Linked DNA regions of Oryctolagus cuniculus. The protein of the gene in region 1 interacts with the protein of each later gene in a biochemical or structural test. Links are inferred from orthologs where the notes say so. Each region holds a gene or a part of one and is shown in the gene's direction. Other genes may lie near its edges.

What was found.
Region 2: the proteins of ERBB2 (region 1) and GRAP2 form a complex in vitro, tested with the Homo sapiens proteins (2 studies listed by BioGRID and IntAct, with this or other methods). The link is inferred for Oryctolagus cuniculus from reciprocal best matches to the Homo sapiens genes ERBB2 and GRAP2.
Region 3: the proteins of ERBB2 (region 1) and SHC3 form a complex in vitro, tested with the Homo sapiens proteins (2 studies listed by BioGRID and IntAct, with this or other methods). The link is inferred for Oryctolagus cuniculus from reciprocal best matches to the Homo sapiens genes ERBB2 and SHC3.
Region 4: the proteins of ERBB2 (region 1) and MATK form a complex in vitro, tested with the Homo sapiens proteins (2 studies listed by BioGRID and IntAct, with this or other methods). The link is inferred for Oryctolagus cuniculus from reciprocal best matches to the Homo sapiens genes ERBB2 and MATK.
Region 5: the proteins of ERBB2 (region 1) and PTPN11 form a complex in vitro, tested with the Homo sapiens proteins (2 studies listed by BioGRID and IntAct, with this or other methods). The link is inferred for Oryctolagus cuniculus from reciprocal best matches to the Homo sapiens genes ERBB2 and PTPN11.
Region 6: the proteins of ERBB2 (region 1) and SHC2 form a complex in vitro, tested with the Homo sapiens proteins (2 studies listed by BioGRID and IntAct, with this or other methods). The link is inferred for Oryctolagus cuniculus from reciprocal best matches to the Homo sapiens genes ERBB2 and SHC2.
Region 7: the proteins of ERBB2 (region 1) and BLK form a complex in vitro, tested with the Homo sapiens proteins (2 studies listed by BioGRID and IntAct, with this or other methods). The link is inferred for Oryctolagus cuniculus from reciprocal best matches to the Homo sapiens genes ERBB2 and BLK.

Annotation. Positions count from the first base shown.
Region 1 is NC_091448.1:22,692,087-22,696,361, reverse strand, and holds the start of ERBB2 (receptor tyrosine-protein kinase erbB-2), read left to right. Parts: upstream 1-1,475; 5' UTR 1,476-1,696; coding exon 1,697-1,769; intron 1,770-4,275. UniProt on the Homo sapiens protein: Protein tyrosine kinase that is part of several cell surface receptor complexes, but that apparently needs a coreceptor for ligand binding. Essential component of a neuregulin-receptor complex, although neuregulins do not interact with it alone.
Region 2 is NC_091442.1:116,101,251-116,105,265, forward strand, and holds the start of GRAP2 (GRB2-related adapter protein 2), read left to right. Parts: upstream 1-1,215; 5' UTR 1,216-1,448; coding exon 1,449-1,688; intron 1,689-1,801; coding exon 1,802-1,893; intron 1,894-4,015. UniProt on the Homo sapiens protein: Interacts with SLP-76 to regulate NF-AT activation. Binds to tyrosine-phosphorylated shc.
Region 3 is NC_091432.1:137,843,197-137,846,696, reverse strand, and holds part of SHC3 (SHC-transforming protein 3), read left to right. Parts: intron 1-1,233; coding exon 1,234-1,529; intron 1,530-3,500. UniProt on the Homo sapiens protein: Signaling adapter that couples activated growth factor receptors to signaling pathway in neurons. Involved in the signal transduction pathways of neurotrophin-activated Trk receptors in cortical neurons.
Region 4 is NC_091447.1:59,381,878-59,384,504, forward strand, and holds part of MATK (megakaryocyte-associated tyrosine-protein kinase), read left to right. Parts: intron 1-259; exon of another isoform or gene 260-470; intron 471-1,224; 5' UTR 1,225-1,271; coding exon 1,272-1,280; intron 1,281-1,480; coding exon 1,481-1,782; intron 1,783-1,857; coding exon 1,858-2,077; intron 2,078-2,359; coding exon 2,360-2,453; intron 2,454-2,627.
Region 5 is NC_091452.1:9,714,961-9,719,072, forward strand, and holds the start of PTPN11 (tyrosine-protein phosphatase non-receptor type 11), read left to right. Parts: upstream 1-1,312; 5' UTR 1,313-1,548; coding exon 1,549-1,562; intron 1,563-4,112. UniProt on the Homo sapiens protein: Acts downstream of various receptor and cytoplasmic protein tyrosine kinases to participate in the signal transduction from the cell surface to the nucleus. Positively regulates MAPK signal transduction pathway. Dephosphorylates GAB1, ARHGAP35 and EGFR.
Region 6 is NC_091447.1:58,293,981-58,297,154, reverse strand, and holds part of SHC2 (SHC-transforming protein 2), read left to right. Parts: intron 1-1,070; coding exon 1,071-1,137; intron 1,138-2,344; coding exon 2,345-2,491; intron 2,492-3,174. UniProt on the Homo sapiens protein: Signaling adapter that couples activated growth factor receptors to signaling pathway in neurons. Involved in the signal transduction pathways of neurotrophin-activated Trk receptors in cortical neurons.
Region 7 is NC_091433.1:42,975,853-42,979,352, reverse strand, and holds part of BLK (tyrosine-protein kinase Blk), read left to right. Parts: coding exon 1-74; intron 75-1,466; coding exon 1,467-1,570; intron 1,571-3,500. UniProt on the Homo sapiens protein: Non-receptor tyrosine kinase involved in B-lymphocyte development, differentiation and signaling. B-cell receptor (BCR) signaling requires a tight regulation of several protein tyrosine kinases and phosphatases, and associated coreceptors.

The DNA of each region.
Region 1 (4,275 bases):
ACAGTGTTGGCCTCTCCATCACTTTCTTTTAAAAAAAAATATGTATTTATTTATTTGAGAGAGAGAGGTTTATTTTTCATCTGTTGGTTCACTCCCCAAATGCCCACAACAGCCAGGGTTGAGCCAGTCCAAAGCCAGGAGACTGGAACTCCATTCAGGTTTCCTGTGTGGGTGATAGGAACCCAAGCACTTGAGCCATCATCAGCTGCTTCCCAGGCACGTTAGCAGGAAGCTGAATCGGAAGCATGGTGCAGCCAGGACTCTGATGTGGGAGTCCTGCCATCTCTCTCCAACTCTTTTTTAAAGAGAGTCTCTCAAATTTTATAAACCCCAGACCCCACAAAACCTACATCTCTCCCACTATGAGTAAATCTGGAAGTGTGTACTGAGCAATCTTCATGTGCCAAGTGCCGTCTGAGTGGCTGATATGTGATGGAGCCGCGACTTGAACACAGGGCTCCCTGATTCCAGAGCCCGCTGTTCCCAGCCTGCCTCTCTCAGTGCTCAGCCCACGACGCAGGTTAGGAAACGTCCGTCTGCTTCTCTCTCCAGACCCCAGAGCAGCGTCTCACTCCTCTTGACCCGTACTGATGTGCTCTTGGGCTCCGGGGTGGAGTGGGGGGGCATTCAGAATTGCCAGATTTAGCAAATAATAATAAGGGTGCCCCGTAAATCTGAATCTCAGATAAATAATGAGCAATTTGTTAGGATACAATGTCCCATGTCGTATTTTGTCTTTCAGCAAAAATCGGTCTTCTTTCCAGGCGCACTGCCACCACGGAGGTTTAAGAGTAGGGGCCGGAATTCAGGCGGGATGGATGCAGGGTGGAGGGGTGGCGCTCAGCAGGCGGGAAAAGGCGAGGAACAAACCTGGGAGGGATTGGGTTCTGCGCGTAGCCTTACGGAAAACAAGAACGCTCGGCCAGGGACTGAAGCCCTGCTGCCTCCGATTTCACTGTCCCCTCCCAAATGTGTAGGTCTTGCTTCTCAGCCCGGACCAGATCCCTACAACAGCCGAGGAGCTGTCCAAAGGGCTCCTGGAGGCCGCACCTGGACCCCAGCTCATCCCCGCTCCCAGGCCGGCAGGTTTACTTGAGTGCGCCGGCGGGCAAGCCATTATTCGATACCACAACAAACAGGCGCGGGACGCGGTAGGATGCAAACTCCCCGGGAATGTTGCAGATCTAACCCGAGGCTTCGGAGAGACCGGAGGGTGGCAGCCTGGAGAATTCGCCCGCACTCCGGGGCAGGCGGCGGGATCCCTCTGCCCGGCTCTGCGTGAGGACTGCTGCGGGCAACCCCGGCGTCCGGGCGCTGGCACGGACGCACCCAGGCCTGCGCCGGGAGAGGGAGAAAGCGAAGCTGGAGTTGCCACTCCCAGACTTGCTGGAATGCAGCGGCGGGGGTGGGGGGGCGAGCCGTGAGCGCGCCTGCTCCCAATCACGGGAGGAGGAGGAGGAGGAGGAGGAGGAGGAGGAGGAGGAGGAGGTGGAGGAGGAGGAGGTGGTGGAGGAGTAGGATTGCTTGAGGAAGTACGAGAATGAAGTTGTGGAGCTGAGATTCCCCTCCAGCGCGAGCCGAGAGACTAGGAGTGCCCGCCGGCAGCCGCGCGCCCGGCCCCCACCCCCTCGCCGAGCCCCGCGCACTCCCAGCCTGGTCCAGCCGGAGCCATGGGGCCGGAGCCGCAGTGAGCACCATGGAGCTGGCGGCCTGGTACCGCTGGGGGCTCCTCCTCGCCCTTTTGCCCCCCGGAACCGCGGGCACCCAAGGTGGGTCTGGCGTGGGGAGGGGATGGGGTAGTGAAGGGCCCCCCCCGCAGCCTGGGTCTCCGGTCCGAAGTCCCAGGCTGGCGGGGGCCGAGGAGCCCGACGAGCCCTCCTCGCCGAAGTTTCGTTAAGTTCGGGCTTTCCCGGCGCGGGGCGCTCGGGCCGGGAGGGGGCGAGAGAAGGTGGAGGCGGGGTTGGGGGCGACCCCCACCGAAGCGGCTCGAGATCGCCCCTTTCTAGGGCCCGGGCGCTTGCCGGACTCCCAGCGGGCTCCGGGGACTTGTCAGAAAAGTTCTCCGAGATTGCGCCCAAAGTTTTCGCCGAGGTGGATTGCGGGGTGGGTGTGGGAGTGTGCGTGCGCGCGCGCGCGCGCGAGCGTGTTTCCCCGCGCCGAGCCCCCGCCAGCCTTCTCAAAGCCTTTCCAGTTGGCAGCCTCCGCCTCCGGACTGGACTGGGCTGGATTCCTTGGGGGGGGGTCCTCTCTGCCCTGCCCCTCCCCCCTCCCCGCCCCCTCCAGCCGCCCGCGTTTGAGTACCGGCTTCAGGCGGGGCCGGGGGTGAAGGGGGAGGTGGGCAGAGCAACCTGCCCCGCGGGCCGGGGAGAGTGGCCTGGCGAGCTGCACGCGTCCCTGGCGCTGGGGTCTGGGCGAGGGGGAGGGGCCCTGGTTTGTTTTGAGCCAGTTCCTACAGGGCCTGCGGGCTTTGTGACTTGTGGAGAGCCTGGACCAGAGAGGGGTGAGGGTGGGTTTCCTGGTTTGGAGAGTTCCACGGGCGGCATATCGGGGCAGCTGTGGCCAGACGGGGGTATCCCAGGGGCCGGGTGCTTCTGCTGTCTTTTTGCTTCCTGCTGTGAGGGGACGGGGAGGGTGAGTGGAGAGGTGTGTATCCCGACCCTGCTGTCCGCCTGCACGAAGTCAGGATAAAAGCTAACACACACTCTGTGCCCAGTACACTCTGCTGGGCCCGTGGGTGGTGTTTTGCATGCATTCCCTCCTTTCGTCTTCCTAACAGAAGGCCACGTTGCAGGTGAAAAACGGGGCCCAAAGAGGGAGGCGGCTGCTGGCTTGTGGTGGGGCTCACAGCCGGCCCAGGGCAGCACAAGCCTTAGCCGCACATTGAAAATGATGATTGGGGTCCACCTGAGCCGGTGGGGGGCACTGCCCCTTGCATCCCTGGGTGAGGGTGCTGTGGGAGCAGGGTGAGGTGGCCCCTGGCACTCAGGGAGTCTGGGGAGCTGTGGGTGGCAGTGCATCCGTGGTGCTCTCCCGGGTCCTCGCCAGGGCCTTGCCGCATTGTCTGCGAGCTGTCAGTGTGTGTCTGGGGCTGTGCCAGGTGGTCCTGAATTATGGTCTGTGTTTGTGTGTCTGGGCCTTGTGTTGCCAAACATCAGTCTCCCTGATGACTTGGGGACGCAGGCTGAACTCTGCCCTCTCCAGGAACGCCCTCAAGGTGCTGGGCCAGATCTGTTGTAAATAGCAGGAGGTGGCCCCATGCCTGCTGGGTGGCTGCAGAGGGAGGTCCCTGTCCTCCCTCCCTCCTTCCCTGGGCGTGCAACTTCACCTCTGCCCATGGCGAGGGGCCGCCCTCCTCTCCTTGCCTGGGAGCAGAGCAGGCGGTGGCGGCTGCGTTGCTGGGGTAGACTCCTCTTGACCGGGGCCTCCTCAGGTCCTCACGCTGAGTTACAGAGAGACACTGAGTGTGTTGCATGGGGAATGGTTACAGAGGCAGGCACATCCCACCCAGCAGCCAGGTTCTACCCCAGGGCTGTGGGCTGGGGCAGGGATGTTGGAAGGGGAGGCCCAGGGGCAAGGGCCAGGGGGCCAGGATTTTGCTGAGATCTTTTTCAGCGGTCAAGATTTGTAAATTGCACCAAACGCATCCTTTTCACTGTTCATTCATATTTTAATTCCAGTGTGATCTTCCCAAGAACCTCCTTCCCTCTTTCTACTAAAAGTGTTCATTTTCATGTCCAAGAAAAAAAAAAAACAATAGCAAAGAAAGGCTCAAATGTAAAAAGAAAAATATATTGACTTTCAAGGTCAAATACAATGCGCATTTTCTCCTGAACTGGGATCACCTGTACTCCTGCTGGATGAAACCCTTGCCTCAAGTTTTTAAGAAGTTGCAGTGCGCTTCCTGTAGGCAGGTGCTCAAGTGCAGATGGCTCCGTTCCGTCTCTAACAATCCTGAGACAGGGGCACAGGTGGAAAACTGAAGTTCAGAGAACCCACGGACTTGGCCAAGGCTCCTTAGCCAATGAAGAGGCCTTAAGAGTTGGTCAAAGTCCACACAACAGGAATGGCTTGACCCAAACCTTAGCCTAAAGGGATAGGGATGCTGTTCTGTTTTGGGGTGGACCTCCGAACCTGGCTAGGGGAAATGGGGCTGAGCTGGGGGGCCTGAGGTCCCCTCCCGGCTGTGGAGTCCTCTCCCTTCCTGTCCAGCCCATGCCTGCCTTTCTCCTGGGCCCTCTCAGCATCATAGGGGACTTAGGGCAGGAGGGTGTGGAG
Region 2 (4,015 bases), on another chromosome or scaffold:
ACGGTCGCATTTGATGTCAGAATCTCTGAAGCGGGCTGTTCTCAGCAGTTCTCAAGCTCAGATGTGGGCCGCACTTTCAGTTCTTCAGAACCCACGGTGGCGCTCGGCACACACACGCAGAAGGCGGCACAGGACTCGTGGGCCCCGCCGGGGCCTGCGGAGCGGGAGGGCAGGGGCGTCTTCTCAAAGAGGAGCCGCGTGCTCTCCTGATGTCCACGCGGGCTGCGCGAGGCCCCGGGAGGGCTGATGGACTGGCCCGGGATCACACAGCTCGCGGCACAGCCAGGCCGGGGGACGCTGCGTGCGCGGCTTCCCCGGGACTCCGACATCAACGCCGCCCCTCTGGGAGGCCGGGCACCCCAGCAGCTCGCCGCTCCTCCTCCTCCTGCGCTTTCTCTCCGAGAGAAGCCATCGCCCCCTGCGCAGTCTCCCAGGCTGCAAGCCGGCGCCGCCCCAGAGCCCCCTTCTCCCTCTGCCCCCCGGGAATGTCCCCAAACGCTGCCGGTCTCGATTCCTGCCTCAGAAATGTGTCCTCGCCCCTCCCGGGCCCCGGCCGCTGTCCTCTCTCGCCTGGAGGGCAACACGCGGCCTCCTGGCCCTGTGTCCCGACTCACACGCGGCTCCCGCTTCCCTCTGAGGCTCCCCCCGTCCTTTCTCTGCCCAGCACCCCTGAGTGGGCCCGTAAGTTTCAGGGTAAGACTCCAGGCTCTCCAACACGGCCCACAGACCGCCATTCCTGGATTCCCACCCCCAACCCCAGCCGGCCTGCGTGTTCCGTTCCCAGGATGCACCACGCCCCTCGTGACCCGGAAGTGGATCCTCGGCCACCTGCCTTTCCCCGAGTGATTTCTGGCGCCGCCGCCCCCGGGCAGGTGGCCGCTGCTCCCGGCTTTCCTATCCGTCTTCCGGCACCTCCTTTATCACAGGGCTCCTAGCCGTGACGACATTTCTGCCACGGGAAACAGACGCTCAGGGTGGCTTAATCGTGACGGAGATGGACGGTTCCTCCCGCGTGCAGGAGCAGGCGGGCTCCGGGTGGTCCGTTCAGGGGCGCCGCGAGGGTCTTGCCGGCTTCTGCTCCGTCGGCCTCGCCGGGAGCTGTGCACGGCGATGTCGCGCGCTTCAGATGCTCCCGTGGGCGCGGCACCGTCTCTTCCCGCCGCGAGCTCGTTTTCTGAAGTAACCGGGAGCCACGCAGAAGCAAGCCTAGTGGGTAGTACAGCCACGAAGGCAGGGATCGCTCGTGGGGCGGCCGGATAGCCGCGAGACAGAACTCTCGCTTTTGCTGGGCGCAGGCTCGCAGAGCAGGCTCAGGAAGGGCATCTCGACGGTCCTGAATTCTGCCCCAAAAATCGTTCCGTGAAACCAGCCGGGTAGAACTCGTGCTTCCGAAGCTGGCCCCATTCCGGTGTTTACGTCTAAAAAATAAAAACCAGTTCGGTTTTTAAATGTTTCCTGGCTACCTGGAAAAGAAGAAGAGCAACAATGGAGCGGCTGTTTGCCTTGCCACCCTCCGCCCAGGCGCTGAAGATCCCAGACAAAGGAGTTTCCCAAAACACACGGGGAAAAGGGGGGGTGGGGGTGGGAGGCACGAGTCTGCAGCAATAACTCGGGGTCCAGAGAAGCGAATCTGCAGACACAGACCCACCGCTGCCTCCGCGGGCCTCGGGAGCTTCCCAGAGCTGCTGGTAGCTCCTTTCCCTCCACCTGGCAAAGGGTGCTCTGGGCTCGGCCCCTCTGTCTGGCTGTTCTGGGGTCCTCACTGCAGTGTCTTTGTCCTGTGTCCTCTCCCTGCCTGTAGGTACTCAGCAACCAAGAGGAGTGGTTCAAGGCGGAGCTGGGGAGCCAGGAAGGCTACGTGCCCAAGAACTTCATAGACATCCGATTTCCCGAGTAAGTCGGCCGGGCCTGCCCACACACACTCCCTTCCCTCTCCCGGGCGGGCAGAGGTGCCGCCACCAAGGGCTGCCTCTGGCGCTCCCTCCAGAGCTTCCAGAAGGCCGGGCTGGGAGGGAGATCTGCATCTGTTGGCTTCCATGCCACGTGGCTGTGTAGCCTATTTTAAGTTCTGACAAAGTGAGTTTGTCAGCTAGAATCTGTGATGAGAGCCGGCCCAGGGTTTCTGGGATTTCCCACGGGGGCGCTGTTGGCCAGGGCTCTGCTCTCCCTCCTGAGCACGGATCCCAGCCCGGCCTGGCCCTTGGTGCCAGGTGGGTGTGTGGCTCTGCAGCCTGCTGGCTCCGGAGAGAGAAGTCGGGGAGAGCAAAGGGAATTCCCTTCCTAAAGAGGAAGTGAGAAGTTGAGATTGGGCCTCCTTTGTCTCAAGAATTGACCACAAGGGTTAGATAGAAATCTGGTCTTGTGTCACAGCCGGGCCGTGGCCTGAACAGCGGAGGTTTGTTAGAAAGCCAGAGCGGCGCAGCAGGGCTCCCGGTGACCCCGCGCTGACCCCTGGGCCAATGCGGGGGCCACCTGACCTTGGCTGGGCCCCGGATGCTGCCTGGAATCCGCCCCTGGCCACGTCGTACCTTCTCTGGACTCAAACCTGCAGCCCCTCCACACCTCACTGGGACCATGGACGGTGCCAGAAGAGAGGCTGCCTGACCCCGCCCCTCCTGGCCCCCACACCCCGCCTCCTGGAGCTATACTCAGACTCCGCCTTCCCTGCAGCTGCCTGGAAGGGGCGGCTCCGAGCAGGCCCCCCCCACAGCAGCCCTCTCCCTGTGCCGTCCCCCCCACAGCAGCCCTCTCTCTGTGCCGTGCTCCCCCCCACAGCAGCCCTCTCCCTGTGCCGTCCCCAACACAGCAGCCCTCTCCCTGTGCCCCCCCACAGCAGCCCTCTCCCTCTGTGCTGTCCCCCCCACAGCAGCCCTCTCCCTGTGCCGTCCCCCCCACAGCAGCCCTCTCTCTGCGCCGTCCCCCCCCACAGCAGCCCTCTCTCTGCGCCGTCCCCCCCCACAGCAGCCCTCTCCCTGTGCCGTCCCCCCCACAGCAGCCCTCTCCCTGTGCCGTCCCCCCCACAGCAGCCCTCTCCCTGTGCCGTCCCCCCCACAGCAGCCCTCTCCCTGTGCCGTCCCCCCCACATCAGCCCTCTCCCTGTGCCGTCCCCCCCACAGCAGCCCTCTCCCTGTGCCCCCCCCACAGCAGCCCTCTCCCTCTGTGCCGTCCCCCCCACAGCAGCCCTCTCCCTGTGCCCCCCCCACAGCAGCCCTCTCCCTCTGTGCCGTCCCCCCCACAGCAGCCCTCTCCCTGTGCCGTCCCCCCCACAGCAGCCCTCTCCCTGTGCCGTGCTCCCCCCCACAGCAGCCCTCTCCCTGTGCCGTCCCCCCCCCACAGCAGCCCTCTCCCTGTGCCGTCCCCCCCCCACAGCAGCCCTCTCCCTGTGCCGTCCCCCCCACAGCAGCCCTCTCCCTGTGCCGTGCTCCCCCCCACAGCAGCCCTCTCCCTGTGCCGTCCCCCCCCACAGCAGCCCTCTCCCTGTGCCGTCCCCCCCACAGCAGCCCTCTCCCTCTGTGCCGTCCCCCCCCCCAAAGCAGCCCTCTCCCTGTGCCGTCCCCCCCACAGCAGCCCTCTCCCTGTGCCGTGCTCCCCTCAACAAACACCAGGGCTTCATTTTCCCTTCTTACCAGGCTACCGACCAACAAAACCCAAAGCCCTCCACCTCGGATCCCCTCCTGGCTTCCGCCCTTTTCTCTCTCAACTCCTCTGCCATTGTCTCTGCAGCCCCCAGGACGCCTTCAAAACCGGTCCTGTCAAGGTCAAGGTCACAGTGGTGGCAGGTCCCAGGGTGGGAGGGCTCCCTCCCTGCCTCAGAAGCCTGGGTGTCCAGACCCGGTCTCTGCTCCTCCTCTTTGCTCGCCCCGTCCCTGCCGCTCCTCAGTCTCCGACGCTGCCTCCTCCTCACCTCCCCGCACTCCTTCAGGTCTAGAACAGAGACAGACAGACAGACAGACAGACAGGGCTTCCGTCTGCCGGCTCATTCCCCAAATGCCTGCAGCGGCAAGACGGACCCAGG
Region 3 (3,500 bases), on another chromosome or scaffold:
TATTCAGAATGTGAACTGCGTCCCGGGAACTGTCCTGCCCAGGGGAAGACCGTTCCTGGTGCTTACGCTGTCCAGGGTAGGCAGTGTGGTCCAAAGCAATCCTCAGAATCCCTGGCACTTGCAAAGCACTGTACATTTTCCAGGGTGCTTTTAGCATATCCTTATTTGAATATCAAACATAGGGATTTAATCAGACACGCCTAGCTGCTTCTTTTGCCACTGGTAGAGCAGCAGTCTCACCCTTCTGATGCTCTGCACTGAGAAGTGTGTTCCCAAGGGGATGAAGCCAACCTTGGTCTCAGGCACTCATGCAAGAGACTTTTCCACAGGGGAGCGAGTGAAGGTCAAAGGGAGGCAGAGCTCTAGCCTAGAGCAAGTCACGTAAGAGGCACTCAATACATGTGACTACAGAATGTTTGGTGCAGAGATTTTGAAATGAAACTTTGGTGAGTTTGGTTTATGTTTTGCATGGAATCAAAGCTTTGTGGCTTACTGTGTCCTGTAGCAGTGACAGGTTTTTATACAGAAATTGTTAGAGAGGTTGGCTGATGTTCCAGAGAGAGTAGATGGGACACAGTGTACATGGCCTCTTACAGTGCGCAAAAACGAAGTCTTTCTACAAAGCTAGACAAGAAGGAACCTGAGTCCTCGGCACCATGCACGCCTCCTGGCTGTCTGGGGAAAAAAAGCAGACTCATCAGAGAGAGTCACGACAAAATTTGGGCTGTGCTTCTAAATACATGTTACGCCAAGTCTTATCATGTTACCAGCCGTTTATTTTCCTTACTTTTTTTCTTTAAAGGTTTATTTATCCATTTGAAAGACAGAGTAGCAGAGAGAGAGAGAGAGAGAGAGAGAGAGAGAGATACAGAAACCTATCCACTTGTTCACTCCCCAAATGGCAGCAGTTGGATCTGGGCCAGACTGAAGCCAGGAGCCAGGAACGCCATGCTAATCTCCCCCGTGGATGGCAGGAACTCAAGTACTTGAGCCATCATTTTCTGTGTCCCAGGCACATTGACAGGGAACTGGATAGGAAGCAAAGTAGCCAGGACGCAAACCAGTATTCTAATGGGGTGCAGATGTCCCAAGCAATGGCCTAACCCACTGCACCACAATGCCCACCCCTGTAGTGTTTAATGGAAGAATTGCCTTTGCATTTCTGTCTCTCACATTGTGTTTTTATCACTCGGCCTGCTCGGGACTGACTTTGCTGGCAAATGTTGTTGACAGAACCTTTTGAAGATGCTCTCAAGAATCAGTCCTTAGGGCCTGTGTTGAACAAGGCAGCCTCCGTGGAGTGCATCAGTCCTGTCTCACCCCGAGCTCCGGATGCCAAGATGCTGGAGACACTGCAGGCCGAGCCTTGGTACCAAGGAGAGATGAGCAGGAAGGAGGCGGAAGGGCTGCTGGAGAAAGATGGAGACTTCCTCGTCAGGAAGAGCACCACCAACTCCGGCTCCTTCGTCCTCACAGGCATGCACAACGGCCAGGCCAAGCACCTGCTGCTTGTGGACCCTGAAGGCACGGTGAGTGCACAGCCGTGCAGGTCAGGGCCTGCCACGTCCTGGTCACTCCTTCAGTAGAGCCCAGGGACAGGGGACTTAGGCCTGGTCAGGGCCCTGTGCTAGTTACAAAACTTGCAAAATCGTCATGGTCCAGTCTGAAAGCCTTGACACCCTTCTTTTTTTTTTTTAAATCTATTTTATTTGAGAGGCAGAGTTAGACAGATGACACGCTGATCCACTCCCCAAGTGCCCACGGCAGTTGAGGCTGGGTCAGACCGAAGCTGGGACCTGGGAACTCAGTCCCATCTCTCAGGCAGATGGGACCCGACTATCTGAGCCATCATCGGCAGCCTCCCAGGATGCACACTGAACAGAAGCTAGAATCAGGGACCAGAGCCAAGAATTGAACCCCGGCACTCTGATATGGGCAGTGACCATACCACCTGGCGGTTTAACCGCTAGTCCATTTCACGTCCTTTAAAATGAACAAGTACTGAAACACTGGATCACTATGTGATGTAAAAAAAAAAAAAATGTTGTGTCCCTAGTTCATGTCATATTCAAAAGTACCTTCAGCTGGGATTAAAACCTAATTATGAGGGCAGGTGTTTGGCTTAGTGAATGGGACGCTGGTTAAAATGTGTCCATTCCAAATGAGAGTAGCTGGGTTCAATGCCTGGCTAAGTCTCCCAGTTCCTGTTTCATGCTTTGGTTGCGCTCCTGAAGGTAGTGGTGATGGCTCAAGTAATTGGATTCCTGCCACCCACATGGGAGACATGGATTGAGTTCCTGGCTCTGGGCTTCAGCCCCCAGCTTATTCTGCCACTGTGGGCATTTGGGGAATGAAACACTGGATGGGAACTTTGTCTCTCTCTCTCTCTGCCTCTCAAAAAAAAGAAAAGAACCTAAGTGTGAAAGATGTAACTATAAAGCTATAAAGGGAGAACATTTTCTTCCAAGTAACATCACAGTGGGCAGGAAGTTTAGACCCCTGGGCTTTAGGTATTTGTCTCAAGTGCAATCACTGAGCTTTTTGTGTGAAGCCTGCAAAATGTGATGTAGCAGTAGATAAAGCCCCCAAGGATTAGTCTCTTCTCACTCAGAGGAGCAATGCCTTGTGACGCTGTTTGGCTATCATTGGCATTACAACTGGGTCCGAATAATTCCATGAGTTCAGCTGAATTTTCCATCTTCCAGTCAGTAGATACATTTGGCTTCATCCTGGCCACAGCCCAAGTAGTGCTGCTGGGTTTAATAAATGGAATGAAATCAACCTGGGCACTGAGTAAATTCCAGGACTGCTGCTTAAAACCTGGCATCCAGTGAAAACAGGAAGGCAGGGTAGGGTTGTCTGAGCAGGACTTGAGAACATGGCTTTTCCTGACTGATAGGTAGGGGTGGAACTGTAGCCTTCAGTGGGACTGGCACGCAAGGTAATGGTGGATGGGCTGGGGTGCAGGTGGGGCATCGGGGCAGGGTTACCGCCCAGACTGAACTGCCCATACAGCTCAGCTCTTGGCCCTCTGAACACCTGGCCCTACCTAGTTCCAGTGGGGCAGCTGCCTCGAAAGGACAAAATGTAAAGTCACCACTTCCCCCACGCTACCTGCTCTCGTTTTTCTTTTTCAGTATCTATGTCATGTGCAAAAATGTATATTTTTTTGTCTATGCTTTTTAGAAATCTGCAAATGTGATATTGTTCCCTTTCATTGTTTCCTTTTTCCTTGAAGCACACTGTGGGTTTCTGCCAATGGTGCTCTCTGCATTGGGTCATAGCTTTGGAGGGCTGCACAGGGTCCCCTCGTGCACACACTCCACGTCTCTCACTGAGCTCTCTTGAGAAAAATACCCAAGCTGCTGCCAACCTCCGTGCGTGTTTTCCCTATACCAGGGATGGTCTCTCTGGGCAGGTACTGGGGTGTTTTAGATCATAGGGTATGGGTACATTTAATTTCATAGGATTTGCATTTGCTTCCAGAATGGCTGGGCTTC
Region 4 (2,627 bases), on another chromosome or scaffold:
TGGGGGCCCTCTGGGCGTGGCCCCGCCCTGCCTCTCATGTAAATTTAAGAGAATTTTATTTCTTCAATGGGCCGGACTGAAAAGGCTGGACTTGTTGGCCTTTCCGGACGGGCAGCTCGCCCCTCCACCCCGCGCGAGCGGGCGGCGCCTGCCGGACCCCCGCACGCGGCCCCCGCAGGAGGAGCCGGGGACCGCGGGGGCGGGGCGGGGAGGGGCCGGCGGTGCGCGCGCGCGCGCGCGCGAAGCGGACCGCAGTGCGGCCGGCGCTAGGACCCGCGGGGGCCTCCCGGGCGCCGCCCGCCACCACCCCCCTGCTCCCCGACCGGCTCTCCCCCCCAGCCCCAAAATGAGGAAACGGAGCGACTTGCTCCAAGTTGTGCAGCCCGGAGCGCCTCGGGGTGCGCTGCCGGCTCGCGGGGACCCGCCTGGGGCCGGGCGTGGGGCGCGGCCCGGGGGCGTCCCCTGAGCAGGTGAGCGCGGCGGCCGGGGAGGGGGCGGCGGACCTGGAGGCGGGCGGAGCGGCGTCCCGGGGACCCCGGCTCGCGGGGGCGCGCGCGGGGCCGGCGGCGGTCGGACGCGGGCTGGGCTGGGTGCAGGGGGCGCCGGCGTGCCCCGTGCGCCCACGTGGAGGGAGGGCCTCTTGCGTGCGGCCGAGACGCCCGTGCGCCTACCGCCCAGGTGTTCGAGAGCGGGGCGTGGCGGGGCGTGGCGGGGCGGGGGCCCCACAGGTGCGCGCGTTCCCGGTGCGCGCCCTCCTGGCACCGGTGGCCGGCCCCTGGCGCCCCCGAGCCGCTGGGTTTGCGTGGGTTCTTCCTGGGCACCGGGTGCCCAGCCACCTGTGGCGGTGGGGGGAGGGGGCGCGTCGCCGCCCAGCGCGGGCGCCCGGGGATGGGGTGGGGGTCACGGGGCCGCGCTGCACCCCGGGGTCAGACCTTCGCGGGAATGACCTTGACTCATCCGCCCCCGACTCACAGAAGAGGAAGCGCCGGGCCTGGGCCCGGCCACTGCTCCCTGGCCAGCAGCCTGCGCCGCCCTGGGTGCCACGGAGTCCCCTGGGGGATCGTGGCAGAGTGAGGTCACGGCCGTGACCCTGCCGGGGGTACAAGTCCCTCGCCTCCGGGCCGGGTGGGGTGTGTCTTGGGGTTCTGGACCCTGAGCGGCGGCCGGGGCGGCTGCACTCCCGACCCCAGAGCGCGGCTCTGTCCCGTGCCCACCCCGCTCCAGGTGAGCCCCCGTCTCCTGGCCTGGCCTCGCTGCCCGTCTCAGCCAGGATGCCCACGGTGAGTGCCCGGCCTCGTGCCCCCGGCCCCAGCCCACGCCATGCCCGGGGACGGGGGTGCGGGACCCGGCGGCGCCGTCCCCCCGCCCCCAGCTCCGGGGTCCCCTCGCTCCCGTCCTGACTCGGTTCTCTCTCGCCCCCCGCCCCGGGTTTGCGCCCGTCCCCCTGCCCGCGCGTCTCCCGGCGTCCCGCCCTGGCCAGAGGCGCTGGGCCCCCGGCACGCAGTGCATCACCAAGTGCGAGCACTCGCGGCCCAAGCCGGGGGAGCTGGCCTTCCGCAAGGGCGACGTGGTCACCATCCTGGAGGCCTGCGAGGTAAGCGCGTGCGCGGCGGCGGGGGCGCGCCGCCCGGACCCCGCCCACGCCCGCCTCCCGCCTCCCGCACAGAGCAAGAGCTGGTACCGCGCCAAGCACCACGCCAGCGGCCAGGAGGGGCTGCTGGCGGCCGGCGCGCTGCGCGAGCGCGAGGCCCTGTCCGCCGACCCCAGGCTCAGCCTCATGCCGTGAGTGGGGCGGGGCGGGGGCGGGGCGAGCCCGGCCGGCCCCGCCCCGCCCGCTCTGACCCCGCCCCGCCGCAGGTGGTTCCACGGGAAGATCTCGGGGCCCGAGGCCGTGCGGCAGCTGCAGCCGCCCGAGGACGGGCTGTTCCTGGTGCGCGAGTCGGCGCGGCACCCCGGGGACTACGTGCTGTGCGTGAGCTTCGGCCGTGACGTCATCCACTACCGCGTGCTGCACCGCGACGGCCGCCTCACCATCGACGAGAGCGCGTGCTTCTGCAACCTCATGGACATGGTGGAGGTGCGCGCCGGGCCCCGCCCCCGGGCCAGGCCCCGCCCACCCAGCAAGGCTCCTCCCCCGCGCGCCTTGCCCCGGACAGGCCCCGCCCCTACAGGCTCCGCCTCCCCGGCCAGGAGTCCTCCCCCGAAGGCCCCGCCCACGTCCCGCCTCCCCACACGCCCCGGTCCCGCCTCCCGCCCCAGCCGGGCTCCGCCCCGCCTCCTCTCCCCGTTCCCATGGAAACCGGCCACCTCGCAGCCCGGGCGCCCCGACCGCGCCCGCTCACGGCCGCGCGCCCCGCAGCACTACAGCCGGACCAAGGGCGCCATCTGCACGAAGCTCGGGAAACCCCGCCGGAAGCAGGGCACGAGGTCGGCCGAGGAGGAGCTGGCCAAGGGTAGGCCCGCGCGCCCCGGCCTTCCCCCCCCCCCAGCCTCGGGGTCCCCTCCCAGCGCGGCTCCCTCGGGGACCCCCCAAGTCCTCGCTCCCTGGAGGTCGCCTTAGCGCGCACCCTCCCTGGCCCGGCCCAGCCTCGGGGTCCCCTCCCAGCGCGGCTCCCTCGGGGACCCCC
Region 5 (4,112 bases), on another chromosome or scaffold:
CTTCCCGCTAATGCACACCCTGGGAGGCAGCAGCTTGGGTCCCCATCCCCCACGTGGGAGACCAGGATTGAAGTAGGCCTGGCTGTTGCAGGCATTTGGGGAGTGAACCAGCGGGGACAAGATCTGCCTCTCTGCCTTTCAGATAAATGAGAAAACAAAACCAAAAACACAGAACTTGTAGGCTGAGGTTGCTAAGATCTAACAGTGAAGAAGGAAAACGGAATTCATTGTAGTTTTGCTGTCACTCCTCTAACTGCAGAAGGTGGTATGGCCACGTAGCACAAGTGCTAAGAAAAAGCACCCAATGTGCGGGTGATCGGCTTGAACACAAAGTGTCTTCTGGGGCCGCTGCTTGCGATGCTTCTGCTCTGCGGCCAATCCGGCTCCCTGCTAATGCGCCTGGGAAAGCAGGGGAGGATGGCTGGGGAGGTGGGGTTCTGCCACCCCCGTGAGGGACCCCCAGGGAGCTCCGGGCGCCTGGCTTCCCCATGGCTGTCGCAGGTATTGGGCGGGGTGAGGGGGAGTGAACTGGCAGATAGATTTCTCTGTCACTCTGCCTTTCAAATAATAAATAAATAAATATCTCAGAAAAAAAAGAAAATGCCTTCTGATTGATGGCACTGTGTTGTACCAAAAAGCGCTGCGCTCACACAACAGCTTACGTTCATTAACTTTTTTTTATTGTGGTTAAACACATGAAACTTCATCATGTATGTACACGCGCAGAGTGTGGTTCGGGCACCCTGGGGGTCGTGGAGTTGAGCTCCACGCGGCCTTCCGCGTTTACAAACAGCACACAGACGTCTTTATAACCTAGCACGCACACCAGAATTCCTCTGCATTGTTGACTGTTTCCAGATCAGGGCTTTTCGGACTTTTGGTTCACGAAGCCACGGTTTAAACCAGGGCTCAGCAGACGGAAAACACTCATCAGAAACGACTGCAACGCAGCTTGTGCCGCCAGACGGGCGCACGCCTGCCTGTTTTCCACGGTGAATCTTCACGGTAACGCCATGAAGAACGCATAGCCCTTCTTCACGCAAACGAAGGCATGGGGGGACGCTGGAGCTCGGAGAGACCACGTAGCTTTTGCAGCTTGCAGAGCCAACGAGAGGGGCGGCGACGCGGGGAGGGAGACGAACAGAACTCGGCTCGGCGTCTATGCGGCGACGGAAACTGACACGGCGTGGGCGGGCGCGATTGCGAACGCGCGCGGTGGCGGCTCCCGCGAGCCCCGAGACGCAGTCAGCGACCGCCTCTCGCTCGCAGCCGACGGGAAGCAGGAAGTGGCGGCGGGCGTCGCACGGATGACGTCACCGAGGCGCCGGCGGCGAAGGGCGGGGGAGGAGGCGGAGCCAGCCGGGCTTGGGGGGCGGCTGCACAGTGTCCGGGATCCCCCAGGCCTGGAGGGGGGTCTGCGCGCGGCCGGCTGGCTCTGCCCCACGTCCGGTCCCGAGCGGGCCTCCCTCGGGCCAGCCCGATGTGACCGGGCCCTGCGGAGCCTGAGCAAGGAGCGGGTCCGTCGCGGAGCCGGAGGGCGGGAGGAACATGACATCGCGGAGGTGAGGAGCCCCGAGGGGCCCCGGCGCGGGCCTGGGCCGGGCCCCCGCCGCCTCCGCCCAGCCGCGCCCGGGAGGGGGGCGTCCCGGCCGGGCCTCGGACCCCGGTCCCGGGCGAGGGGGACGGGGAGGGCAGGGTGGCTCCGGACCCCCTCGCCGCCCCCAGCCCGGGGCCCCAGCGCACCCCCACCCTCGGGTCCCCATTCATTTCCTGCCTCCCCGAGTTCCGGCTCCAGCGGCCCGGGGATGCCCGTCCGGCCGGGAGCAGGTAGAGGCGCCCGGAGAGCCGCGGCCGCCAGCGGCCCGGCTCGGCGCCGCATTCCTGACCCATTGCCTCATGAGAATTGCCTCATGGTGATTCCGAAATAACCCCGCTCTCCGGGGGAGGCTCCTGGGGCCCCGGGCGCCGCTGGGCACTCGCCGCCCCGGGGCCGCGCCGCCACTCGCGCGCCTCGGGGTGGGGTGGGGGGCTCCACTCAGGACCCCTGACCCTTGCATGTGCCCCTTTGCATCGCCTTCTCCCCCCCTCCGCCCCTCACGTGCCAGAAGTGGAAAAACTGACTGTGTGTGCAGCCGCTACGAGTATTTCCTTCCTCTGCGATCCTCGCTCTGGGAGATGGGCGGGAAGGGAGCTGGATCTCGCTACAACCTGGAAAACCAGGACCCATTTCACGGATGTGAAAACCGAGGCCCCGCAGGAGCGTGCGGGTCAGCAGGAAGGGGGAGTTTGCACGAACTAACGTTGACTCGCTTTGAGTCCAGACGCAGCCTTTTGAACTCCAGCAGTCCGCTGAGGTCGGTCCAGCTACCCCCGCTGTAAAAAAGCAGAAATCTGCGTTGCCTCCCACCGCTCAGTAAATGGTGGAGCCCGAGTCCAGTGCGGATCGCCGAGTTGCTATTATTTTATAACCGTCACGGGTCGTTTTTGCTGTTAAACAGTAGCGTGACCCGTGGTTCTCAGATAATGAGGCTGCTATTCTGCATCACTGCTCGTTGCTTGGGACTCACACATAAGACCTTTGTCTGTGCTTGCCCGTGGTTGTTCTGCGAGGGTCACCGTCCCAGGCATTGGAGAAGCGCTTTCAGGGGGTCGGGGCTGTTTGAACGAGAGATGCTTTCGGAATATTAGGAATGTCTGCTCGAGACGCACACACCTGCATGCATGCCATTCGTGCACGGACCTGGAGCAAAAGAGGGCAGGAAACGGAAAAGTGAAACTCGTGAGTGAGTGAGTGAGTGAGGGGGACAGGTCTGTCGGCAGGTGCTCCCAGACCGGGGGTGTCTAACTGCATGCTGCAGAACAGTGTGCGGCCCCAAACGTTCCACTTCTTTAGGGAGCTCCCACATGAAACAGTTGTCTGTTCTCTGATCTGTCAGGTAGTCATTGAGCCTTTTGTTCCTTGTGTCTGCTCTTTCAGACAAGTAAGGATCTGCTGCGTTGGGGGACAGAAAGACTTGGGGGCTGGGGCAGGGAAAGGGGCTGAGTCCCAGTAGACCCTGCATTGTGCTGCTTGTTAGTTTAGAAACGGGGAAGTGTGGGCATTGCCAAAGCAGCAAACGGTTGAAGTGACATTTGACATTTTTTTTTTTAAATGAGTGAAAGGAAGAGTGAGCTAGAGAGAGATGGGTTTTCCATCCTTGGGTTTACTCCCCAAATGCCCACGATAGCAGGGCTGACTGACCCCAAGTCGGGAGTCCAGAACTCGTTCCAGGTCACCACAGGACTCAAGCACTTGAACCACCATCCACTGCCTCCCGGGATGCACACTAGCAGGAAGCTGGGATCAGAGGCAGAGCCGGAATTCGAACCCAGGTTCTCCAGCATGGGATGCAGGCATCTTACTCACTGTGCCAAACACACTCCCAAGGTGGCGGTTTGAAACAGAGTGATTCCTTCTGCCTTCTGGCCCTGGTATTTCTGACTTGCTATTGTAGAAAAGAAGTGGGCGCCACCTAAAAGTCAGGGTCTGAACAAAACACACTTAGTTGGAAATTGTTGCTTTTTAGATTGTGAGTCAAGTTTTGGATTTTTAACCAGCTTTATTGAGGCATCCATGATGTGAGATAAATTACATATTGTTAAGTGTGTCTTCCCAAACTATTGATGTGTGTATCCACTTGGGACGTCATCACCACGTCAAGATAATGGACGTATCCATAACCCCTGTGAGGTTTCCTTGTGCTCTTTATAATCCCTTCTTAGGTCTTAGGCAGTCACTGTTCTGCTTCCTGTCACTGTGTGCGAGTGTGCATCTCCTAGGATTTTATATAAATGTCCTTCGTGTGTCCTCCTCTTTGGTGTGGCTTCTCACCCTCAGACAGGTATGCTGAGATTCGTCCATGTTACAGTGTGTCCCATAGTTCCAGAATTTTTATTGCTTAGTTGTAGAGTGTCCCGTTGTGTGGATACACTGCAGTTTGCTTATCCACTCTCCTGTTGATGGACACTTGACTGTTTGGCTGTCACAAATAAGAGTCTTAGAATTCTCACACACAGGTGTTCATACGGACGTGTGCCCGCAAGTGGAATGGCTGGATCATTTAGCAGAGGTT
Region 6 (3,174 bases), on another chromosome or scaffold:
AGGGTGGTGGGCAGAGGGGCCAGGGTGGTGGGCAGCGGGGCCAGGGTGGTGGACAGAAGGGCCAGGGTGGTGGGCAGCGGGGCCAGGGTGGTGGGTAGAGGGGCCAGGGTGGTGGGCAGAGGGGCCAGGGTGGTGGACAGCAGGGCCAGGGTGGTGGGCAGAGGGCCAGGGTGGTGGGCAGAGGGGCCAGGGTGGTGGACAGAAGGGCCAGGCTGGTGGGCAGCGGGGCCAGGGTGGTGGGCAGAGGGGCCAGGGTGGTGGGCAGCGGGGCCAGGGTGGTGGGCAGAAGGGCCAGGGTGGTGGGCAGCGGGGCCAGGGTGGTGGGCAGAGGGGCCAGGGTGGTGGGCAGCGGGGCCAGGGTGGTGGACAGAGGGGCCAGGGTGGTGGACAGAGGGGCCAGGGTGGTGGGCAGAGGGGCCAGGGTGGTGGACAGTGGGGCCAGGGTGGTGGACAGTGGGGCCAGGGTGGTGGGCAGCGGGGCCAGCGTGGTGGGCAGCGGGGCCAGGGTGGTGGACAGAGGGGCCAGGATGGTGGGAAGAGGGGCCAGCACAGCAGAGGGCCAGGGTGGTGGGCAGAGGGGCCAGGGTGGTGGGCAGTGGGGCCAGGGTGGTGGACAGTGGGGCCAGGGTGGTGGGCAGCGGGGCCAGCGTGGTGGGCAGCGGGGCCAGGGTGGTGGACAGAGGGGCCAGGATGGTGGGAAGAGGGGCCAGCACAGCAGAGGGCCAGGGTGGTGGGCAGAGGGGCCAGGGTGGTGGGCAGTGGGGCCAGGGTGGTGGGCAGAGGGGCCAGGGTGGTGGACAGTGGGGCCAGCACAACAGAGGGCCAGGTGGCAGACAGAGTGACCAGCATGGTGGACAGAGGGGCCAGGGTGGGCTTGGCAGGAGGGCTGGGCTGCCCTTGCATGGGGAGAAGGCTGGTGAAGGGTGGGTGGTGGGCACCATGCAGACCCCGGTGGGCTCTGGGTGCCCAGGGAGGGTCTAGGGCGGAGACCCCCAGTGTCCCTGGGAGGAGGGAGGCTGGGTGCTGGGCAGGGTGTGTGGGTGGTGAGGGGCCCCATGCTTCTCTCTCAGGGAACGTCCTCTCTTGCCCGGAGGGAGGCCCGTGGCCTGCAGTGGGACCTTTGGCCCTGCGGCGCAGGTAGGACTGGGTGAACCCGCACACCCCCAAGGCCGCCAGGGGCCCCTCAGCCCAGCTTGGCGCCCTGCTCCTATCTGAGCCCCCAGGTCCCTTGGGGTCCCTGTGTCAAATGGCTCCAGGCACCCAGGAGGGTGGAGGCCTCACAGGAAGTCGCTCACTGCTCCCGCCCCCCTCCCTGGTCGGGGAGCTCCCAGAACATGCATGGACGGAAGCCAGGCCACACGTGTGCTGGGGACACGGCAGCGGTCACACGTGAGCTGGGGACACGGCAGCGGTCACACGTGAGCTGGGGACACGGCAGCCAGGTGACACGTGTGCTGGGGACACGGCAGCGGTCACACGTGAGCTGGGGACACGGCAGCCAGGTAACACGTGTGTTGGGGACACGGCAGCCAGGTAACACGTGTGCTGGGGACACGGCAGCGGTCACATGTGTGCTGGGGACACGGCAGTGGTCCCACGTGAGCTGGGGACACGGCAGCCAGGTCACACGTGTGCTGGGGACACGGCAGCCAGGTCACACGTGTGCTGGGGACACGGCAGCGGTTACACGTGTGCTGGGGACACGGCAGTGGTCACACGTGAGCTGGGGACACGGCAGCCAGGTGACACGTGTGCTGGGGACACGGCAGCCAGGTGACACGTGTGCTGGGGACACGGCAGCCAGGTCACACGTGAGCTGGGGACACGGCAGCCAGGCCACACGTGTGCTGGGGACACGGCAGCAGTCACACATGTGCTGGGGACACGGCAGTGGTCACACGTGAGCTGGGGACACGGCAGCCAGGCCACACGTGTGCTGGGGACACAGCAGCCAGGTCACACGTGTGCTGGGGACACGGCAGCGGTCACACGTGTGCTGGGGACACGGCAGTGGTCACACGTGAGCTGTATAGGTGAAGGCCCCACCCATGCACCCCTTCTTCCTGCAACCCCACGGCAGTCAGGGGTCAGGGAGACCGGCCATGCAGCTGCGCCTTGGCCCCACGCCCGCAGACGGCAGAGAGAACGTGGGGGAGTCAGGCAGGAGTGGCGGACCACAGGAGCGCAGGGCCCCCCGGCACCTGGGCCTCTCCGGTCACTTCAGGCCCCTGTGCGGCTTTCCAGCCCACTGTGCCTGGGCCTTTGCGAGCGGATGGGGCGGCCTCCCCCCGTCCAGAGCCCCTCCCGCATCCCCGCTGACCTCAGCACTCCCCTCCCTCGCCAGCGCCGCCGGGGGACGGCTACGTGCAGGCGGACGCCCAGGGGCCGCGGGACTATGAGGAGCACCTGTACGTCAACACCCAGGGGCTGGACAGCGCAGAGCCTGAGGACCCAGCCGAGGACAGCCCCAAGAAGGACCTGTTCGACATGCGTACGTGGGGCCTGGGGGGCCCTGTCTGACGGGGGAGGCCTGGTGGGCTCCCACAGAGGAACTCTGGGATCTTCTGTGGGAGTCTGCAGTCGGGTGGGAGAGGCTGTGGCACGCTCCCATGGTGTTTCACGGTGCATGGGCCCCAGACTGGGGGTGCCCAAACCTGGCTTGGACCCCCGCCCTGTCTGTTGGGGAGGCGTGGCTCCCCATCTCTGGTTTCCCCAGTCTGATGAGGGCGGCCTGGCCCACGCCTCCGGGAAGAGACTAGTCTGATGGTGGAGGTCCATCTGGTGGATGGGGCCTGCCTTCCTATACCCAAAGTGACTCAGTCCCAGCGACCCAGCAACCCCACACTGCTGCTGGATGTGGCGGGGGCTGGGGTCCCTCAGGACTGCCCCCTAGGGTCCCCCATGCTGCTGGAAGCCCCCATCCGTGTCACCCGACCCCAAGATTTCTGACTGTTGCCAGGCCTGGGGACGCTGGCGTAAGGGGAGGGAGCCCCGGGGCTGGGCGGTGAGGCTGGGTGCACGCTGGCTCTGAGGGGCGTGTCCAAACCACAGTGGTCCCCGCTGGAAGCAGGACGCGGAGGGACTTCTGCTTGGTGGGCAGTGGCGATGGCAGGTGTCCGGGGTGGGGGGAGCAGTGTTGCGCCGCCAGCCGTGGCCAGTGCTGTAGGACCAGCA
Region 7 (3,500 bases), on another chromosome or scaffold:
TCGCTCGTCACGGGGAAAGAAGGCTACGTGCCCAGCAACTTTGTGGCCGGAGTCGAGTCCCTGGAGGTGGAAAAGTAGGTGGCCAAACGGAAGCCCCCTCAAACCGGAGGTGCCTTTCCCGCTTCTGCTTTGTAGGCTGCCACGCAGGGCAGGGCCGGAAAGCTGGCTAAACAGTGACCACAGGGCCCAGCCAGAAGGGGCGGGAGTGGGTTAACTCCTGGTCCACACAGCACTTAACCCGCAGTGTGATACAGAGGGAGCCACACCGCCCCCACCCCTCATCAAACACGACAAGGGTTCCCTCTCTCGCATCCCGGGATGGAGGCCTGCCCAGCGTGACCCTGCAAGCTCACGGTGAGGCTCTCTGGCCAGCAGGCAGGCCCCACTGCCTCCAGGGGCAGGCCTCTAGGGCTCAGCGCCCAGGGGGCTCCCAGGATTCGGGCCCTGTTCCGAAACAGCTTCCATCAGCAGCCCCATGGCCCACATTCACCAGAACCATCTGTGCCGGTCAGTGGGGCCTGCCCATGAATGGCGCGCACAACGCCTGGAGCATGCGCACACGATGCCTGGAGCATGCGCACACGATGCCTGGAGCATGCGCACACGATGCCTGGAGCATGCGCACACGATGCCTGGAGCATGCGCACACGATGCCTGGAGCATGCGCGCACAGCGGGCTCCATCCAAGCCTGGGGAAGGGGCCGTAGCGGGGAACGCGCAGCTGCTCCTGCCCTGCCTGGCTGGGCGCTCTGGCCTGCGGCTTTCCCCGAAGAACAGCTAGTGGGGCCCTGGGGCGTCTCGGTGCTGGACAGTCCTGTGCCGAAGGGGCACAGCTGGAATCCAGGCTGGGGAGTCTCCTGCCATCTGCCTCCTTCAGACACAGACCCCAAGGGTGGGCATGTGTCCACCCTGCGGAGCCAGTGCTGTAGGGGACAGTGATGGATCGGGTGCATTTTTCCTGAACAAAACAATGGCCACCCAAATAAAGTCCTGGTTTCATTTCGGTCCAGCAGCTGATGGGAAGCGAGACGGGATGAGCAAGCTCCAAGACACGGAGAACAGCTCAGGACTAACTCATCTCTAAGGATGGCTTAGGAGGGAAGCTGGAAAAAAATATTCCCAGGGACGGGGATTGGTGACATGGGTGACGCCATCTGCGCTGCCGGCATCCCATATGGGTACCGGTTCGTGTCCCAGCTGCTCCACTGCTGATCCAGCTCCCTGCTATGGCCTGGGAAAGTACTGGAGGATGGCCCAAGCGCTTGGGCCGCTGCACCCACATAAGAGACCAGGATGAGGCTCCTGGCTTCAACCTTCCTGGGTCTTGGCCATTGCAGCCATTTGGGGAGTGAACCAGCGGATGGAAGATGTCTCTGACTTTCAAAAAAAATTAAATAAATCTTATAAAAAAAAAAAACTTGCCAAGCAAGGGGACCCTGAGGCTCACTTGTCTTGCTGTTTTTCAGGTGGTTCTTTAAGTCAATCAGCCGGAAAGAGGCCGAGAGGCAGCTTCTAGCTCCAGTCAACAAGGCCGGCTCCTTCCTCATAAGAGAGAGCGAAACCAGTCAAGGTAAGCCTTCCTGGCCCCTGCCCTGGGGCCCTGGGAAGCCCCCCCCCCCATAGACCTAGTGTGTGCGGTGAGTGGGGAAGGGTCCCTGCTCAGAGAACCTGTAGCCTCCGAGCCCTCCCACTTCCGGCCCTGCTGGGCAGCTGACTTTGAGGCTGTGCACACGAGCAGCTCCCCCAGGCTGGACACCACCCAGACAACGGGCAGCAGAGGCCAGGGGGAGACCCGCCCCCTACCCTGACCGTGCAACCCGGTCAGCAGGAAAGTGAGGCTAGTGGGGTCTGTGGAGGCAGCATGGACCCCAGAGCCCTCAATCCCCAGCTGGGATGTGGAATCCAAAGATGGGCAAGCTCCATGATCCTTGAGAGGCCCCTCAGCCAGAAGCCGGCAGGTGACATGGTCTGGGAGCTGGCCTGTGCCTAGAAGGGGACAGTGACTATGGAAAACAGAATTATGACACTGGGTCTCCAAGTCGAATCCTGTAACTGAGCAAAACATGGCTGCCACCCCTGGGCTTCCCTCATTTCCTCTACCGACTTAAGCTTTCTTTCCTTTTTTTTTTTTTTTTTTTTTTTTTTTTGATGTTTATTTATTTATTTATTTATTTGAAAGAGACAGACAAAGCTTCCATCACTGGTTCACTCCCCAAATGCCTACAACAGCCAGGGCTGGGCTGGGACCACAGCCAGGAGCTAGGAACTCAAACCAGGTCTGCTTTGTGGGTGGCAGAGACCCAAGTACTTGAGCCATCACCTGCTGCCTCCCAGAGTGCGCATTAGCAGGCCGCTGGAACAGGGAGCAGAGCTGGGCCTGGCCCCCAGGCACTCTGACACCGGATGATACGGGCGCCCAACCAGCAGCTTAACTACCTTGCCGAGCGCCAGCTCCTCTTTCGTTCTTCATGTTTGTTGTTGTGAAATACAAAATACGTGTAACACCACGTAAATCATCAATGAGTAAATAACTATAAATTATACAGTGTGATGAAAAGTAAGCCCCTCTGTAACCACAGCTGAGAGAGAACATTCCAGATGTACAGTTGTGGTCGTCCCCTGCCTCCTGGGAGGTTAGCAAACACTGCCCTGGCTTGCATGCAAATCCTCCCTCGATTTTTGTTTTGTTTTGTTTTACCACCCACATTGTGTCCATATTGAGTTTATGCTCGCGAATTGTGCCATTTTCATTTCCATGTGTCTTGCTCTTTCCACTCCACCTTGTGAGAGCCTGCATCCGTTTGCTAGGACAGCCATAACAGAGCAGCATGCACCATCCCCCTGCCCTGGGGCTCCAAGTCCAAGTCCAAGGTCAAGGTGTGGGCAGGGTTGGTCTCTCCAGGAGTGCTCACACAGCCTTCCCTCTGTGCCTGTCACATCCTGATCTCTTCTCATGAGAGCAGCACTGGTATTGAATTAGCGCCTGCCCATAGGCCTCATGTTAATTCATCACCTCTCTAGAGACCCAGAATCCCACTATAGTCACGTCTCCAGCTGCTGGGGTTAGCACTTGGACGTGAGACTTTAGGGACACGGTCCATCCCATAATAGATGCCTTCATCTGTTGAGCTGTTGAGAATCCAGTGCGTGAGAATCCCAAACCAGCCTATCTGTGTGAAGGTTGGTCAACATTGGGTTGTTTCCATTTGGGGGCTGTGAGGCAGGTACTGCTACGAATCTTATTTAGCACGCACACACAGCAAGACCACGCAGTCAGCGTCCCCAAGTCACAGCCAGCACATGGAGACTGGGAAGGGAGCTGCCCCGGCAGGGGCGTGCCGGCTAGCCAGTGCAGGCTGCAGGACCTCCGTCTGCCTCCCAAGCCCCAGTCTGCCGGCCGCCTTCCCCCGTCAGAAAATCCCAGTCTCCACAGCGCCCAAGTCTGGGGCAGCCTACACAGCACAGAGGCAGAGGCCGGGTTTTGTGAACCTGAAGCTGGC